Daphnia pulex: one gene and its partners. The protein of the gene in region 1 binds, or shares a complex with, the protein of each later gene. Links are inferred from orthologs where the notes say so. Each region holds a gene or a part of one and is shown on either strand. Other genes may lie near its edges.

Region 1 (8,450 bases):
AAATCTTGCAATCTTTTCCTTGGTTCAATAATCTTCAATAAATCCTCGAGTAAATCAGCAAGGTTGTGGAATAGTTGCCAATCTGCAGGATTTCGTGGACTACTTTCAGCTTTAATCAAGAAATAAAACTTTAATTGTAATGAATGAACGTAAACGTAGTAACAAATACTTTTTTCTCCGTCTACCGTTGAATCTTCCATCTCATTTACTGAGAAATTTAGACGGCTGATTATTGTGGAAATGGCAGTAACCAACTGCCCATCTAGTACTTCAGAAACTCGAACACGGTCCTCCAGACTAAATGGAAGATCCGTCTGGCACGAGAAATTCATAATTGTAATCCAAAGAGAGGCATACTTCTTTATACTGTCAGAATCAAGTTCTGGTCGGGTAGAACGAATTAAACTTTGAATCACTAGAACAAAAAAAAAAGATACATACAAATATATATAACAGTAGCCTATTAGTATTTAATAACATACCAACTTCCCTCACAAAAGCAGAAAAATTAATAGGGTTCTGTACAGCAGCATGAACACCAACTAAAAACACGGCAACTGATCGACCACATCTATTTCGTTCAGCTTCAGGAGTCAGTTGTTGTTCGATTTAAACGTGTTGATTAAATATGTTAGAAAAAAGGAATATTTCAATTTAGTACCTATATCCAAATAGCGCGAGAAAAGATGGACAAACATTTTCTGTAGCTGCTGTGTTCTTTCAATTCCTACGGGGGTAGCATAGCGCATGAGAACAAGTCCAAGGGATTCAAGGCAAATAGGAAAAAGATCCAAGCTCTTTGAAGTATCCTCCCTGCAGAATTTATTAAATTGTTAGTTTTAAGATGGAATTTTAATTGATCAAAAGGCCTGCATACTGGATACAAATAAACGATGTCTTATTGAGTAGATACTCAAAAATGTGTGATACATTCTTTCCAGAAACCAAGAAGCTACACTCGCCCAAGGCTTTAAGGCCAACACATTTGAGCTGGAGGGAAGCCTGATCAGATTCCAAAATCTCTATCACATTCTTCATGAAAAACTAAGAAGATAAATTTTAAACAGAAGAAAATATACATTAATACACATGAAAATGAAAACCTCGAGTATTGATGATTTGTGTGTAGCATCTGATTCAATCTTCAAAATTTTTACGCTTTCGTCAATAAACTTCCCAAGTGCTTTCAGACCACTTTCAAGAATATCTGTTTTTTCGCGCAAAGCATAAGATTTCAAGTTATCGAACCAGGATTTGTATTGCTTTAGCAGCAAGTTATTGAAGAGAGATGCGTGTTCTTCCAGCATGTTCAATGCGGCTGTGCATAAAAAACAAAAACAAAAAATAAATAGTTCAGGCAAAATAATGAAAAACCAAATGTTAATATAACCACCTTTTTTGGTATGAACTCTCTTATCGACCAGTAAAAATTTCGTGAGAAGCATCAATAAGTAACTATGAATTTTTTCCCTACATTTTTGGTCAACGATTGAATTAAATGAATGGAGAAATCCTGTAAGAGCTTCAATACAGCCTGCTACACGTTTATCTTTGAAATCATGCTGCCTTTTCACCTTTAAAGAAAGAAAAAGAAAAATTATTTGATTTTACAGAACGTAATTATTTACGTTAATGTTTAGTTACCTCCTTTTCAAGTTCATAAAGGAGTTGGTTAATGATGCGACTGGCCTTTTCCTTCAGTGTACTAGGAAAGTACTGGGCCAGTCTGCCTAGGAGTACTAGGAAATTCATTTTCGCTAAAGTAAAACATAAATATTATAAATAACCATAGAAATACATATCTATGCATACACAGTAATAATACAATCTGCATAACAAACAGGGTAATTATACAATAGTCTTTTTAATTAATCACCTTTGCTTGAACTATCATCAGAAGATGTAGCCATTTTTTCAAAAAGCATATTAGAAAGGGCTGGCAAATTCAGTTCTTCTAATATTTCTGTTGGTGAAGTTTGAGCAGTAATAACAACTTGGCAAAGAACAAAATAACAAGCTCCTCGTATCTTAGAATTTTTGGAGTTCATGTACATCAATGCTAAATTCTTAAGGTAAATGAAAGTTATACTATTAGGTTTTTACACATAGCTAGGTAATATTAATTATTTTCCATACTTTAATAACCACTAAATGGTTGCTCATGGATTCTCCAAATTTTTCCAGTAAATCACCCAAAATTGACAGGGCACAATTTATTATTTCTGCAAAGTTGTCATCCTTTTGAGAATCTCTGAACTTGGACAACAAGGAAATTAATCCAATTTCTTTGTTTAGTAAAGCCGAGACAACAGAATCTTTAGAAAAAATACAATGTAAATGAATTGATTAACATGTTTTTGATGGGACCAATATTTGAAACCTACTGTCTTTGGTTTTGGATACAACATCTTTAATATCCTTGATTTGCTCCAGCATATCGCTGCACGTTCCAGAATGCATCTGAAATAGATAACCTTCCAATACGCTGTCCATTTTATATTCCTCGATGTTACCGACAACCGGACACTTTTAAAAGGCCAACTTCTTCTCGATTATTCGCAATTTTTACGACTTTAAAACTTTAATCATACATATTTAAATGTTAAGACAAGTTTTCAATTGTAGTGGTTCTTCAAAATTTTGCGATCAACGTTAACTCACGTAGGTTATAGGCCTAAGTGATGTTTTCATCCCTCCCGGGTTATGATGATTCGGCTGCTAGAATTGTGCTTTTGCGTAGGCATATTTGCCATGACTGATAGTTAGGCGTAATACATATTTGTAAAATATTCGCTATCATGGTTTTAAAATATCATTACGTTACTTTAAAAATATTTAAAAAAATTATTACCAACTCATTCCTCAAATGGGTATAAGGATTCAACTTTTTTGGAAATGAATAAATGTAGGCTATTTTCTGAAAACAAAAAAAAATCCAATGTATGATTATAATGCGAATAAAAATCAAGAAAAAATAATAATAATAAAAAATCTAAATTATTTTCCCTTCAGAAGATCCCGTTCTAGCTGACAGGCTAGGCTAGTCACCAAGTTACCTATGGTGTTTGGTGAATGGTGATTGCCTGATTGGTGGATGGTGGTTGCCTTGGCCTTCTCGATGGTAGTATTATTTGTTGAAATCTGGCACAGGCTTCCGCCATTAAAGACTCGTGTCCGGTGTGCAGTGCTTGTTTTTCATCATGGCTCGACGAAAAGAAAATGATCGAGCTCAGCAAAATAACGATGACTCGGATTCTAACCCAAACGATGAATTAGAAGACGAGCCCAACTTCGATGATCCGGAAGGTTATGAGGACGATATTTCTGAAGAAGGTACCGTTTGTAACTTACCTTTTGCCATATGGCTTTCCTGAGCATGCCGGCATTGAATCTTGCTAACTGTCAATGTAGATCTTATAGGTGACCTCATCAGGCAGCGTCCGAAAGAAACCGACGGAGTCGAATCAATTGTTGTTATTGACGGTGTTCCTCAGGTTGGTACTGAGAGGATAGAAAAACTTCAAAATGTCCTGAGAAAACTATTCCAAAAGTTTGGAAAAATAACTAATGAATATTATCCTCTTAATGCTGATGGATCAACTAAAGGGTAATTTATTAGTTTTTTTTTTAACTTTTGTGTCAGCCCAATTTTAACATAATATACTTTTGAAGCCATGTTTTCATAGAGTACTCAAATGCCAATGAAGCATTGGAAGTTCTTAAAGGAACTAATGGTTACAAGTTCGACAAAAATCACACCTTCACTGTGAACTTACTTACTGACTTCGAAAAATATAATGACATTCTTGATAAGTGGGAAAATCCAATTCCTCAGCCGTTTAAGGAGCAAGGATGCCTTCAATACTATCTTCTTGATCAAGACGCTTGTGACCAATTCTCAGTTGTGTATGAGCAGGGAGACAAAGTTGCTGTTTATTTGAACACTCAACCTGAACCCTCTCTGCTGGAAGAAAGACCTGTGAGTCACTTCACCTTTATTATTATTATTATTTTTTTTTTTCATATTAAAATTTTATCTGACCAATAATTATCTTCACAGAGATGGACTGAGACTCTAGTGCGGTGGTCACCTCTTGGCACCTATCTAGCCACTTTCCATGCAAAGGGTATAGCTCTTTGGGGTGGTGAAAAGTTTCAACAAATTGTGCGCTTCAGTCATCCAGGAGTGCAATTCATTGACTTCTCACCATGTGAGAAGTATTTAGTATCTTTTAGTCCACTGGCTGATTCAAGAGCAACTGATGAACCACAAGCCATCATCATTTGGGACGTGTTGAGCGGTCTTAAGCGACGAGCTTTTAATGCCGATAAATCTCAAGCCCTGCCCATTTTTAAGTGGTCGCATGATGACAAGTATTTCGCTAGGATGGGAATCGACATGCTTTCTGTTTATGAAACCCCATCATTTGGCCTTTTAGACAAGAAGTCGATCAAAGTAACGTACACGATTTACAAAATCTTCTAATAACCATTTCCTAACATGCACTCTTACATTTTGATAGGTTCAAGGAATTCGAGATTTTGCCTGGAGCCCAACAGACAATACGATTGCTTATTGGGTCGGAGAGGAGAAAGATACTCCTGCTCGCGTCACACTTCTTGAGTTGCCAAGTCGCAATGAAGTGCGAGTCAAAAATTTGTTTAGCGTTGCCGACTGTAAAATGTATTGGCAAAAATCAGGTGACTATTTGTGTGTGAAAGTCGACCGCTATGCCAAATTAAGGAAAGATAAGTCCGATATCAAATACAGGTAATGAGATGCCACTCCTTCAATTAATAGATATAAAAGCTAATTTTCCCCCCTTTGATAGCGGTATCTACTACAATTTGGAAGTTTTCCACATGCGAGAAAAACAAATTCCAGTCGACTCGGTAGAAATCAAGGAAACCATTCAAGCTTTTGCGTGGGAGCCAGTTGGTACTAAGTTTGCCGTCATCCACGGTGAGCCACCGAGTACTTCTGTTTCTTTCTTCGAAGTTAAAACTGGACAAACGCCTACGATGGTTAAAAAATACGAACGTAAACCTTGCAACCAGTTGTACTGGGCCCCTTCTGGTAAGAAAACATTAAATTTAATGTTAAAATTCTAAAATCCTTACTATACTTTATCGAACAGGCCAGTTCATTGTGTTAGCCGGCCTACGTGCCATGTCTGGCACATTGGAATTTGTCGACACCCATGATTTTACCGTCATGAATACGGGCGAACACTTCATGGCTACTGATGTGGAGTGGGATCCAACCGGTCGGTATGTCGCAACTGCTGTTTCCTGGTGGGGTCACAAGGTAACAAAAATCAAGCAATGTATTCATTTTTGACAATGTTTGATCTCTTGTACTTTGACAGGTCGATAATGCCTACTGGTTGTGGTCCTTCCAAGGACGCATTCTCAAACGCGTAGCACTAGACAAATTCTGTCAGCTGCAATGGAGACCTCGACCACCTTCATTACTTCCAGCCCAACAAATAAAGGACATTAAGAAGTCTTTGAAGAAATTTAGTGCCCAATTCGAAGTGAAGGATCGATTGAAAATGACTAAAGCTTCCAAAGTAAATATTTTTTGAATGTGTAATTTTTGGCGAAAGTATTTTCTAAAAATCTGACATTTTCAAACTTCACCCAGGAATTGGTAGAAAAACGCCGCAAACTGATGCAAGAATATGAAGACTTGCGTAAGCAGAAGCAAGAGGACTATGACGCTCAACGTCGCCGTCGTATCGAATTGCGCAACAGTAAGTTCTTAAACCTAGTTAATAAGTAAGCTTATCAGGATTTAACTCACAAATGAATTCACAGACGTGGATACGGATGAAACTGAAGGCCGTGGAGGGGAATTAGAAGAGGAGACAGTCGAGTTTTTCATTAAAGAGGAGACGACATTCATCGACGAGTAATTGCCAAGACTGTAAACAATCACCACATCTTGAGGCGTGCTGCTTATTCAGTGAAAGGCAGCACATCTCGAGGTTTTTGTCAGATATTAATATCCGACAAATCCAACATCAGAAAATGAAGACAAATATAATTGTGTGTCTCATCGATTGGTTATGGCTGTTTGCGTCTCTCTTTGGTTTCAACTATCATGTACCCTTTAGATTATCAAAAATACATTTTGATTGCCTCGTCGCAACTGAAGTTGAACGAGAAGTAAAAAGGAATATATTGTACATGTTTCTGTTTGGGAAAAATTTACCGTTAACATTCGTTGATCAATAAGTCTGCAAATTTTTCTATAATGTTAGTCTTAAACTCTTAACAGAGATATACTCTTTCTTATAGTGCCCGAGGGTACTGTAATCGAAACATGGAGTTCGATCATTTTGACAGCAGAGTAATGAAAGACTGGAAGTACTTAAATTTTCCATGGCTTGAATTAGTTAGCATTTCGGAATTTATGGGTTATAGTGGGAAATGGAATTGAAGTCTGAAGGAAATGACGGATTTATAGAATGTTGGAAACTGGAATGGATTGGAAAATTGGAAAAACAAAAATATTATTTTTACTACTACATTTTTTTCTGGTGCGTGCGGCAACGTTGTCTCACATTATGACACGAAGTTGGGTGTGAAGTGGTGTGAAGAAGAAGGCGAAGTTTTCATTTCGATCAGTTTTGTCAGACATGGTAATGGTAAAATCTATTGCACTCCGGAGTCCGGAGCGCTCTAGTGTCAAAAGTGGCTATTGCACTCCGGAGTCCGGAGTCCTCTAGCGTCAAAAGTGGCTATTGCACTCCGGAAAGGAAATATGTAGTACTTTCATTTGGCGACCGATGGCATTCTGTTTCTGTGTTTTGAAATTTGAATGGTTTAGATTTGAATTATTTGGAAATTCAAATAAAATGTATTTATAACAATCAAATATATTTGAATCTCACTAATAAATAAAAATAGTCAGTGTATAGAAGGAACTTTTATTTCGTTATCGTTAACTTAGCTAGAGTACAATGTCCAACATTGAATCAGCTTAAAATTCAAATTGTTAATATAGTTAAGTGTCTTGCAGCAGGAATAAAGTAGAATTTATAAACATTTCAATTCAGGGTGATATTTCTTGTTAACCATTTCAATGTCTTGCTCTATATGCTCAGTGTTATTATTTATATTATATCATTATATTCAAAGTAAGGATTTAAACAGGTTGTTAAACACGCTATAAACGCACGACATAGTGAGTCACCCTCTGTCACCCCCTTACTTGCCCGAAGGTCGAGCCGGAGTTCTCAGAACGGGGCTTCGAGGGGTTCTTTGTGACCTTTAAACGAATTGACCAGCAACTAACTATTTCTGCTGATTGATTCACACGTAACGTGTGATTCAGCTCTATTACACAGAGGCCATTATATTCAAAGTATAAATTTAGGTTTTTAAACACGCAATTAACACACGACATAGTGAGTCACTCTCTGTCGCCCCCTTACTTGCCTGAAGGTCGAGCCGGAGTTCTCAGAACGGGGCTTCGAGGGGTTCTTTGTGACCTTTAAACGCATTGACCAGCAACTCACTATTTCTGCTGATTGACACGTAACGTGTGATTCAGCTGATTTCACGCTATAAACCATGCAATGCCCGTGTCTCTTATTACAATAAACTAACAGCTAAACACGTCTTTCATATCTTGAAACAAAACGATACAAAACTAAGTTAACATGCAGATGCATTTTACTTTATTATAGTGAGAATATCAAAAGACATTTTAACTGAATTGTGAGTGCGAAAAATACTTGGTATCTTCGTGTTCAGTTTCACTCGGTGCTTTGTCATCACATGAATGAACTGACAATGAAAAAATAATTGATATAAGAGGGGAAAGAATTGGCACATGGTGCGGCGTCAATCAAAGATCCTTTAAGAGCGGAATATGGAAGCGCCTTGTCCTTTGATGATGGGTTGCTTTGGGTTCCAACGCCGCGGAGATAATCATAAACAAAGTTCAATATACTGAAACCTGAGCAAATAGAGCAAGAAGTTGGAATGGTTATCAAGAAATACACCCTGAGTTGATATGTTTATCAATTCTAATTGATTCATGTTGCAAGACACTTAACTATATTTGCAATTTGAATAAAAGGGACTGATTCAATGGTGGACTCTAGCTAAGTTAACAATACTAACCAAGTTCCATCTTTTATACTGGCTATTTGTGTTTATTAGTGAAAATAAAATATATTTGATTGTTATTATAATTACATTGCAAATTTATTTCTTACCTTTAATTGAATATTTAATGAATTCAAAACCATTGTAAAGTCTAAACACAGAATCAGTCGTTATTTGCAATTCGTCGCCATAAATTTCCGGAGTGCAATAGCCACTTTTGACGCTAGAGGACTCCGGACTCCGGAGTGCAATAGCCACTTTTGACACTAGAGCGCTCCGGACCCCGGAGTGCAATAGGCGTGACCCATGGTAATATAAGGTTTAGCAGA
Region 2 (4,278 bases), on another chromosome or scaffold:
GCCAATTTGCGTGCAGACAATGCTGCAGTTGTTGGAGTTGGTATTCCTCACGATCGCTTGGTCGCATACGCCCAAAGTTTGGCTCTTAAAGCTGGTCAGTCTTGCTCGGGGGCTCCTTCGAAAGTACACGGAGGAGAAGTACGTGTGGATACGAGCAGTTCTTTAGCATATGTGGCTGTAGCTGCTCCCGGAGCTTCTCTGGCTGACACGAAAGCCATGGTTGCATTTGCTCTTCTTCAGAGAGCATTGGGTGCAGGTAATCATATTCCCCTTCTTCCCACAATTAAAAAGTCTATCAAAATAACTCCTTTGTTACTGTCTAGGAATCCCAGTTAAATATGGTTCTGGAGCAGGATCAAAACTAAACCAAGCAGTGTTGGGTGCTGGTGCAGTTTCTTCCTTGAATTTGAACTACTCCGATGCTGGTCTATTTGGGTTCGTGGCCGCTGCCCCAGCCTCAGATGCCGGCAAAGTTGTTTCCGCCGCTACAAAAGTTTTGCGATCAGCTTCAGTCAACGAAAGCCAATTGAGCCGTGCAAAAGCCCAACTTAAAGCCGACTTGTTGATGGCCAAAGAGAACACTGGTGTGTTAGTTGAAGAGTTGGCTCTGCAAGCGCTTCTCAACCGGGCTGATCTTCTTTCTACTGTCGATAATGTTTCAATTGCTGACGTCAACGCTGTAGCTTCCCGGTTGGCTTCTGCCAAGCTAACTGTCGCTGCCATTGGAAACCTGAGCAACGTCCCGTTTGTCGATGAATTATAAAATTTTGAATAGGTCTCTGAATTATAATGTAGTCTATATCTATATTTGCACAGTGGCCCATTAGAAAATATCCAGATCGAACGGTTAATCATTCTTAAGAGCTGAAAGAATACACGTGCCCTGTACAGAATATCCACAGTTTCTCTAATCACTCTAATACTGAAAAATCTTACCTCACAATTCCTCTTTATGTTCCTCTTTCGCAAAATTAAGATTGATACGTCATTCATTTAAAAAACGAAGATACATGGAGGAGAAAGTAATGATTCTCTACTCTCGAAAGAAAATTTGTGCTATCTTCGAAAAGACAACAATAATATGTAATTAAAAAACATTTCTCTCTAGTGGGCTTACTTATATTTTAATGAAGTGTGGGGTTTCCGTGATCTTACGTTCAATCTGGTGTAACTTTCTAAAGTAATGTAACATATTTCTTCATCTGAGTCTGAGCTTGACTCTGGAGGGATTTTATAAAAAACACCATATTCCAGATCAGAATACATTTAGTCATTTAGTATTCTGGCCATTTTTTTATTATATTTTTTGTATTTTTTAGCTGATTTAAGATTTTCATACTTCAGTATCTTATTATAATTGCGTCTAAATTAAAAATTTGTGATTGAAATTAAAGATATGCTAATTCGGAATTATTAGGAAAACAGTGGAAAAAAGTAAAGCGGCAGAAAGGTATAAACATCATTTTCAACAATGGCAACAGTGGTATACGTAGCATCCGGTACTAAAATGGCGATTACCATGTTCTAACTTGTAGCAAGCTGTCAGCCAGCCGGTCTAGTGAGAAAGTGCCTACGACTAAATTCTGAAAAGTTATTTTCATAAGGTCACGTTAAATTGTATAACATGGCGGCGCATTTTGTTCCACCAGCGACTCAAGACAATAATGACGGATGGGGACCTTTAGGTATTCCCGACCGCTACAAAGATATGCCATATCAACCATTCTCGAAGGTAACGTTTCATTGCCGAATTTTGTATTAACTTCTTCTGATGTTTTGTTTAATTTATTAGATGTCGGAATGGGCTGGTGGAAGCAGCATCAATTATTCCTTTACAGACCGCAAGTATGGTGGTGGAAAATACTCTGGAGGGGCTGGTGGAAGCCAGTATGCTTATCTGCATGATGAGGAAGAGAACAGCTTTCAGCTTGTGGATACTGCAAGGACTCCAAGACCAATGTATGCTAGAGGAAGATTCCTTCGCAACCAACGGCTTGCAAGAGGCAGACAAAACTTTAGGAATTCTCAGCCTGTGCCACTTAAAGGTAAAGTGTTCAAATAGCAATTAATAGCAACAGATTGTTTATACATTTTCTTTGAAGGTGGCAAGATGAAGGATAACCGAATGAGACAGACTAGGAACAAGTGGAATAATAGAGGACCTCGTCAAGTAAAGCTTCTCACCTTACCGATTATTCAGTCTCATACTCATTTTTTAAAAACTTGTAGGGCCAAATTCAGGTTAAAAACCGTGAATCATCAGTTATTGTTCAGCCTTCATGGAAAATCATTGAAGAGATGGATTTCCCCAGGCTCAACAAACTTTCTCTGCGTCTTAGCAAGGAAGCTTCTGATTTGTAATCAACTATTTAAACTAAAACCTTTCACATGCTGATTTTAAAATAATGATATTATTTTATTTTTCCAGACTTACTTGTGGTGAACTCGAGTTTTATGATAAGCAGTACGACCGCGTAACTGTGAAAAATGAACGAAGACTGCAAAGAATTGATCGTATTTTTCACAAGGTCACCACAACTGATGACCCCATTATCCGCAAAGTAAGAAACAGTAGTCACATTCAAGTCTTACGCGTGGTAGTATGCTAATTCTCAAATTCATTAGTTGGCAAAAACTGAGGGTAATGTCTACGCAACTGATTCCATCTTGGCTACTTTGATGTGCAGTATTCGCTCCAACTATAGTTGGGACATAATCGTCCAGAAAGTTGGTGGCAAACTGTTTTTTGATAAACGTGATGATTCGGAATTTGGTACGTACCTTTTGGCCACTGAGGGAGTTTGCAATGATCTATAATCTTCCCTTTTCCCTAGATCTGCTAACTGTATCCGAAACATCCAATGAACCTCCTCAAGAAGAGGGCATCAATAGCCCACGTAATTTGGCACTAGAAGCGACCTTTATTAATCATAATTTATCCCAACAAGTCCTGAAGATGGTATTTATAATAGGTTTTATAAAATGGCATAAATCCCTAATTTTGTCGTTTCATAATCTTGTAGGGAGAAGAAAAATTCAAATTGGATGAGCCTAATCCCTTCATTTCGGAAGATGAAGTAGGTGAAGTTGCCTCGGTGGCTTACCGTTACCGTAAATGGGATTTAGATGGGGGTGTTGTTCTGGTGGCACGTTGCGAACATGACGCTGTCACCGTTGGATCGGCTGGTGATAACCAATTTATCAACATCAAAGCTCTTAATGAATGGGACTCAAGGGTATGCATATTCACTGTTCGTAATGAAACTGTGTCTTTAAAATGATTTTGTACTTCAAGTTGTCTGGTGGAGTCGAATGGCGCCAGAAACTGGACACTCAGCGAGGTGCTGTTCTGGCCAACGAGCTGAAGAATAATGCATGCAAGCTAGCAAAATGGACTGTGCAAGCTCTGCTCGCCAACTCTGATTGGATTAAATTCGGGTATGTGAAGACTCCTGTTGTCCCTCGAATATTATTGTAACTAATATTGTTTACTTCAGATATGTTTCCCGTATGCACTTACGAGATACATCGCGTCATGTAATCCTTGGAACACAGCAGTTCCGCCCGTCAGATTTCGCATCGCAAATCAACCTTAACATGGACAATGCTTGGGGCATTCTCCGTTGTATTATTGATTTGTGTATGAAGGAAGAGGATGGCAAATATTTGTTGGTGAAGGATCCTAACAAGCCCGTCATCCGCCTTTACAAGGTGCCCGATAACACGTTTGAGAGCGACGATGAAGCATTTTTCGAAGAAGGCGAAGGTTTGTAACCAATCAATATCGTAACGTGCGTGTGTAACTGCTGGCTTGCTTTTTTTGCTTGGGTGTTGGCCTCCCTTTTTTTTTTACTAGCAAAGATTAAATAAACACGTCCAAGCAGTTAATCAAATTTCCCTGCATTTGTACGCCGTGTTACGTTTTGCTTGAATTCGTAGCTCGAGCTTTGTATATATGTATAATATCTAACCACTAGTGGAAGTGCTTGGCTTCTTGGGGGAAAAAAACCTAATTAGATACGCGACATGACTTAAGGTAGCTTTAAAAAAGGCGCTATTAAACGCATGATTTCATAACGTCAACCACGAAATGGTAAATAATAATGTATTTATTTTTTACACATGAATAGAAGACGAGTAACGGCTGATACAAACAAAAGAACAGCTCTTCCACCAATTCCCCAATCTACAACAGTACTACGTTTGTAATGATCGTTACATGGAATAAAGCACTTATGAAGCTTCCAGTTTACTTATACAGCTTTACTTTGTTTGATT
Region 3 (3,749 bases), on another chromosome or scaffold:
TAATAGAAAAAAAGAGATAAAAACTCACCTGAATATGCAAGTCCACGTTCAATGATTCGTGAGATGTAATCCACGATCTCCGGGACATATTCGCTAACACGCGTAATAACATCGGCTGGTAGAACATTGAGAGCGGCCATATCTTTGTAAAACTCTTCTTCCCAATGTCGCGGAAGAGACGCGAAAATTGCGTTATCTGAAACATCCATGCCGTGCTTCGAGTCGAGCCAATCGCTCAAGACGTCTTTGGCTTCAGCCAACAAAAAGCTCTTTGCTTCGGATAATCCTTGACCAAGCTTGATTGTTTCGGTGAATTTTTCAATCGCGGCAGTGACTTTGGCCAACATCTTCTCCTGCATAACTTTCTTGTCGGGATCGGTGGTTACTGCCATTTGCTTAGAAAGACGATCAACAGATTCCTTGACATCTGTTTGAAGAGTTTCAAGTTCACTCATCTCAGTTGCATACTTTTCATATAAATAATTTTGCCTTGCTCTTTTAATAATTTTGTCGTCAATATCAGTGATATTCATTACATAAGTAATGTCATATCCAAAGTAGTCTCTTAAGACCCTTCTCAGGATATCAAAAGACATGTATGAACGGGCATGTCCCATGTGGGATGCATCATAGACTGTTGGTCCGCAAGAATACCAGGTGATATTTTTCCCATTCTGAGGAGTAAACACCTCCTTCTTACGAGTCAGACTATTGTAAATCTTCAGCTCCATGCTGCTGTTGTTTAAGGGGGCTTCAGACATAATAGGTGAACAAGGTACAACCAATTTCTCAATGTGTTCCAAAAATTATTATTTATCCCTTCGAAACTTCTCACTCTGTAAGTAAAATCTAGTCATTAATATTTTGAAATGTCTGATGCAATAGTTAAAATGTCTTACTTACTTCTATCTTCTACCTAAATTGCCAACCACTCCAACTATTATATATTTTTGCGATTTGCACGTTAACAGATTTGTGAATGTCACCAGTTAACTTTAACGTTATAAGGAAGTTAACAATTAATAAATTTGAAAAATAAATGCTGGTTCGAATGATAACGATCAAATGAATCCGAAACCGGTGCGTACCTTTGACGGTGTATTCGGTTTGTTTCTTCCAACACCGCAACACGTCAAGTTAGATAGAAATTGCGAGTGAGCCGATAACAGCGATAACAAATGTGGTGATCTTTTATGCTGCAATTTTAAAAGGTAGTAATTTTTTTAATAATAATTTTAAAAAATCAAGAACTGGTTTTAGAAAATTTTGGAAAGCGTGAAAGTGTTGAAACAAAGAATTAAAAAAAAAAAAAAATCGTTGATTTATCTGTAGGGGAACACGGTGGCAATGTCGCCATTACAGACGAACTTCTGTACCGGGATCGTGAGCGTGGCCTATATCCGGATTTTTTTGACAAGCAACTTCTAATAAAGGAATCTTTTTTTCCAGTTTGTTTTGAACAATTTATCAGGATGAGTTTACCAGCATTTATCGATTTAACGGTCGAAGAACAGGTTAGTTTCCCCATAAATTTAGTCCGGTAGATGCTAAACTGTTGTGGCGATGAAGTGTGGAGTCTGCCAGTAGCGTACACCTTTCTGTGTTATAGACAATTTTCCCTACTAGTATTTCTAATTTTTATACCTGTTTTACCACCTGGAGAAAGCAAATAACTGTTATATAGTACTGAGACAAAATTTAAGACATCAAGGCTTTGAATTGGTCATTGTATTCATATCTGTCTTTTTAGGCTACTGAATTGTGTAGCTATTTCAAGGCTCTTGGAGCATCAAATGTGGATGATGATCAAAACTCAGATCTTAGCAACATTGTTGCTGTTGCAGATCTCTGTTTCAAAGTAAGTGACAATTTTATTTCAATTAGTAGTGTGTGTTTACACTATTTTCTTCTTTGAAGGAGGGCAATGAAGTGGAATCTGAGGGAGTCTTGAATAGCATTGTATCTATGCTCGTTCTTCTCCCCAATGAAAAAGCTGAACCAATAATTACTACGTTTTGCCAAAAGCTTGCAAAACCCCCCTCAAACAAGTTGGGACTTGTTTGTCTGAGAGTGTGAGCATTTGAAATTTGAAGTTTACATAATGAATTGTCTAACTATAATTTTGATTCTTTAGTCTGTCTGTACTATTTCATGGGCTTGATCCTGTGAGTACAACGCGTTACACGGTCTATCACACGCTAGTCCAAGTTGCTGGACAAGTGGAACAGATGAAGACAGTGTTCACGGATCTAGATAAAATGCGTACTCAACTAGGGCCATGCAAACCTAACAACGAGCAGATGCAAAAACTCCTCCGAAGTTTACATGAAGCTCTCCTCAACTCCAGAGAAAGGTAAAGTATTGAAGTTAAACAAATAATTGTAACAATAAATCAAACCAGTGTTATTATTCAGTGAACTGGCCTCCAAAGTGATGGTGGAGTTGTTGAGCACTTACACGACCGAAAATGCTTCACAGGCTCGTGAGGAAGCTCAACGCTGCATTGTTGCTTCATTGGCTGATCCCAACACTTTCCTTCTCGATCATTTATTGACTTTGCAACCTGTGAAAGGTTTATAAAAATTACTTTGAAGTTAAATCAGTTATTAATTAATTTTTGTGTACAGTTTTGGAAGGTGCCCTTTTGCACGATCTGTTGACCGTATTCGTGACGGAAAAGCTGTCAGCTTATTTGAAGTTTTATGAGGAAAAGAAAGATTTTGTTGAAGGACTAGGTATTTACTGGAAATTTTTAAGTATTTTTTTAAGAATTTTAAGTAACAATGATTTTTAGGTCTGAAACATGAGCAGAACCTTCGAAAAATGCGAATTTTGACTTTCATGCAGTTGGCTGAAAATTCCGTAGAGCTCCCTTTCGAAACGCTCGAGAAGCAATTACAACTAACCGAAGATCAAGTAGAGGAATTTGTCCTTCAAGTCCTTAAGACGAAATTGGTGCGCGCACGAATGGATCAGTTGAACAAGAAAGTGCTTGTTTCATCAACCATGCATCGGACATTCGGCAAGCAGCACTGGCAGCAGTTGCGTGAGTTGCTGACTACTTGGCGAGGCCACCTCAGACAGGTCAAAGATTCCATGCTAACCATCGTTAACGAGCAAGCCGAACTTCTCGCTCAGCAATCCTGAACCGATTAGAGAAGAAACAAAAGACTTCAAATTATCCCGCTATCCATCTCTATTAAGGTTTTGTGGAAATAAACGATGACGCCGGCACATTATCTGACAAAATCAGACTTTGATCATTATTTCTGTTTTGTTTCCAACATACTGTTGTTTGAAAGTAGGGTAGGAGATAAAAAAAAAATTCTTTTTTTATTATGCTTATTATATGCAACGTGTAAACGTGAGTTAATTCAGGTAGTCTGATTTTTGGCCGGCAGATGTCTCTTTTTCTCACGTGTTGTCTTTTGAAGATCCACACATTTTTGTTTCAGTAGTTGAGAAAAATCTTTTATTTATTACTCAGAATTTTTGGTGAAAATGTCTGTCTATCACGATGAAGTTGAAATCGAAGATTTTGAATATGATTCGGACAGTGAAATTTACTTCTATCCTTGCCCTTGTGGAGATCGGTTTGAAATCACCAAAGTAATGTGACGTCCCCATTCCTTACTCAGATTCCAAGCTTATTAAAAGGTTTACTTTTATTTCAACAGGAACAGCTAGAAAATGGGGAAGAGGAAGCCACATGTCCGAGTTGTTCACTTATAGTAAAAGTAATATACAAC

The links.
Region 2: eukaryotic translation initiation factor 3 subunit B-like (region 1) and eukaryotic translation initiation factor 3 subunit D-like share a complex: the UniProt entries of both Drosophila melanogaster proteins name them as parts of the eukaryotic translation initiation factor 3 (eIF-3) complex. The link is inferred for Daphnia pulex from reciprocal best matches to the Drosophila melanogaster genes eIF3b and eIF3d1.
Region 3: eukaryotic translation initiation factor 3 subunit B-like (region 1) and eukaryotic translation initiation factor 3 subunit M-like share a complex: the UniProt entries of both Drosophila melanogaster proteins name them as parts of the eukaryotic translation initiation factor 3 (eIF-3) complex. The link is inferred for Daphnia pulex from reciprocal best matches to the Drosophila melanogaster genes eIF3b and eIF3m.

Annotation. Positions count from the first base shown.
Region 1 is NC_060026.1:9,960,721-9,969,170, reverse strand, and holds eukaryotic translation initiation factor 3 subunit B-like, read left to right. Parts: upstream 1-3,075; 5' UTR 3,076-3,200; coding exon 3,201-3,333; intron 3,334-3,411; coding exon 3,412-3,607; intron 3,608-3,672; coding exon 3,673-3,979; intron 3,980-4,060; coding exon 4,061-4,456; intron 4,457-4,523; coding exon 4,524-4,771; intron 4,772-4,832; coding exon 4,833-5,077; intron 5,078-5,138; coding exon 5,139-5,308; intron 5,309-5,369; coding exon 5,370-5,573; intron 5,574-5,647; coding exon 5,648-5,756; intron 5,757-5,820; coding exon 5,821-5,918; 3' UTR 5,919-6,182; downstream 6,183-8,450. Other genes in the region: DNA-dependent protein kinase catalytic subunit-like, read right to left, coding at 1-109, 170-415, 483-584, 662-813, 878-1,044, 1,104-1,318, 1,394-1,574, 1,645-1,757 and 3 more. UniProt on the Drosophila melanogaster protein: RNA-binding component of the eukaryotic translation initiation factor 3 (eIF-3) complex, which is involved in protein synthesis of a specialized repertoire of mRNAs and, together with other initiation factors, stimulates binding of mRNA and methionyl-tRNAi to the 40S ribosome.
Region 2 is NC_060023.1:3,616,111-3,620,388, reverse strand, and holds eukaryotic translation initiation factor 3 subunit D-like, read left to right. Parts: upstream 1-1,478; 5' UTR 1,479-1,624; coding exon 1,625-1,732; intron 1,733-1,792; coding exon 1,793-2,045; intron 2,046-2,102; coding exon 2,103-2,170; intron 2,171-2,229; coding exon 2,230-2,357; intron 2,358-2,428; coding exon 2,429-2,561; intron 2,562-2,625; coding exon 2,626-2,773; intron 2,774-2,834; coding exon 2,835-2,959; intron 2,960-3,023; coding exon 3,024-3,236; intron 3,237-3,295; coding exon 3,296-3,438; intron 3,439-3,497; coding exon 3,498-3,766; intron 3,767-4,088; exon of another isoform or gene 4,089-4,130; coding exon 4,131-4,141; 3' UTR 4,142-4,252; downstream 4,253-4,278. Other genes in the region: cytochrome b-c1 complex subunit 2, mitochondrial-like, read left to right, coding at 1-256, 324-763; L-allo-threonine aldolase-like, read right to left, coding at 4,254-4,278. UniProt on the Drosophila melanogaster protein: mRNA cap-binding component of the eukaryotic translation initiation factor 3 (eIF-3) complex, which is involved in protein synthesis of a specialized repertoire of mRNAs and, together with other initiation factors, stimulates binding of mRNA and methionyl-tRNAi to the 40S ribosome.
Region 3 is NC_060019.1:9,159,597-9,163,345, reverse strand, and holds eukaryotic translation initiation factor 3 subunit M-like, read left to right. Parts: upstream 1-1,333; 5' UTR 1,334-1,472; coding exon 1,473-1,514; intron 1,515-1,750; coding exon 1,751-1,858; intron 1,859-1,917; coding exon 1,918-2,072; intron 2,073-2,134; coding exon 2,135-2,353; intron 2,354-2,414; coding exon 2,415-2,572; intron 2,573-2,627; coding exon 2,628-2,735; intron 2,736-2,794; coding exon 2,795-3,147; 3' UTR 3,148-3,249; downstream 3,250-3,749. Other genes in the region: cysteine--tRNA ligase, cytoplasmic-like, read right to left, coding at 29-761; DPH3 homolog, read left to right, coding at 3,502-3,609, 3,678-3,749. UniProt on the Drosophila melanogaster protein: Component of the eukaryotic translation initiation factor 3 (eIF-3) complex, which is involved in protein synthesis of a specialized repertoire of mRNAs and, together with other initiation factors, stimulates binding of mRNA and methionyl-tRNAi to the 40S ribosome.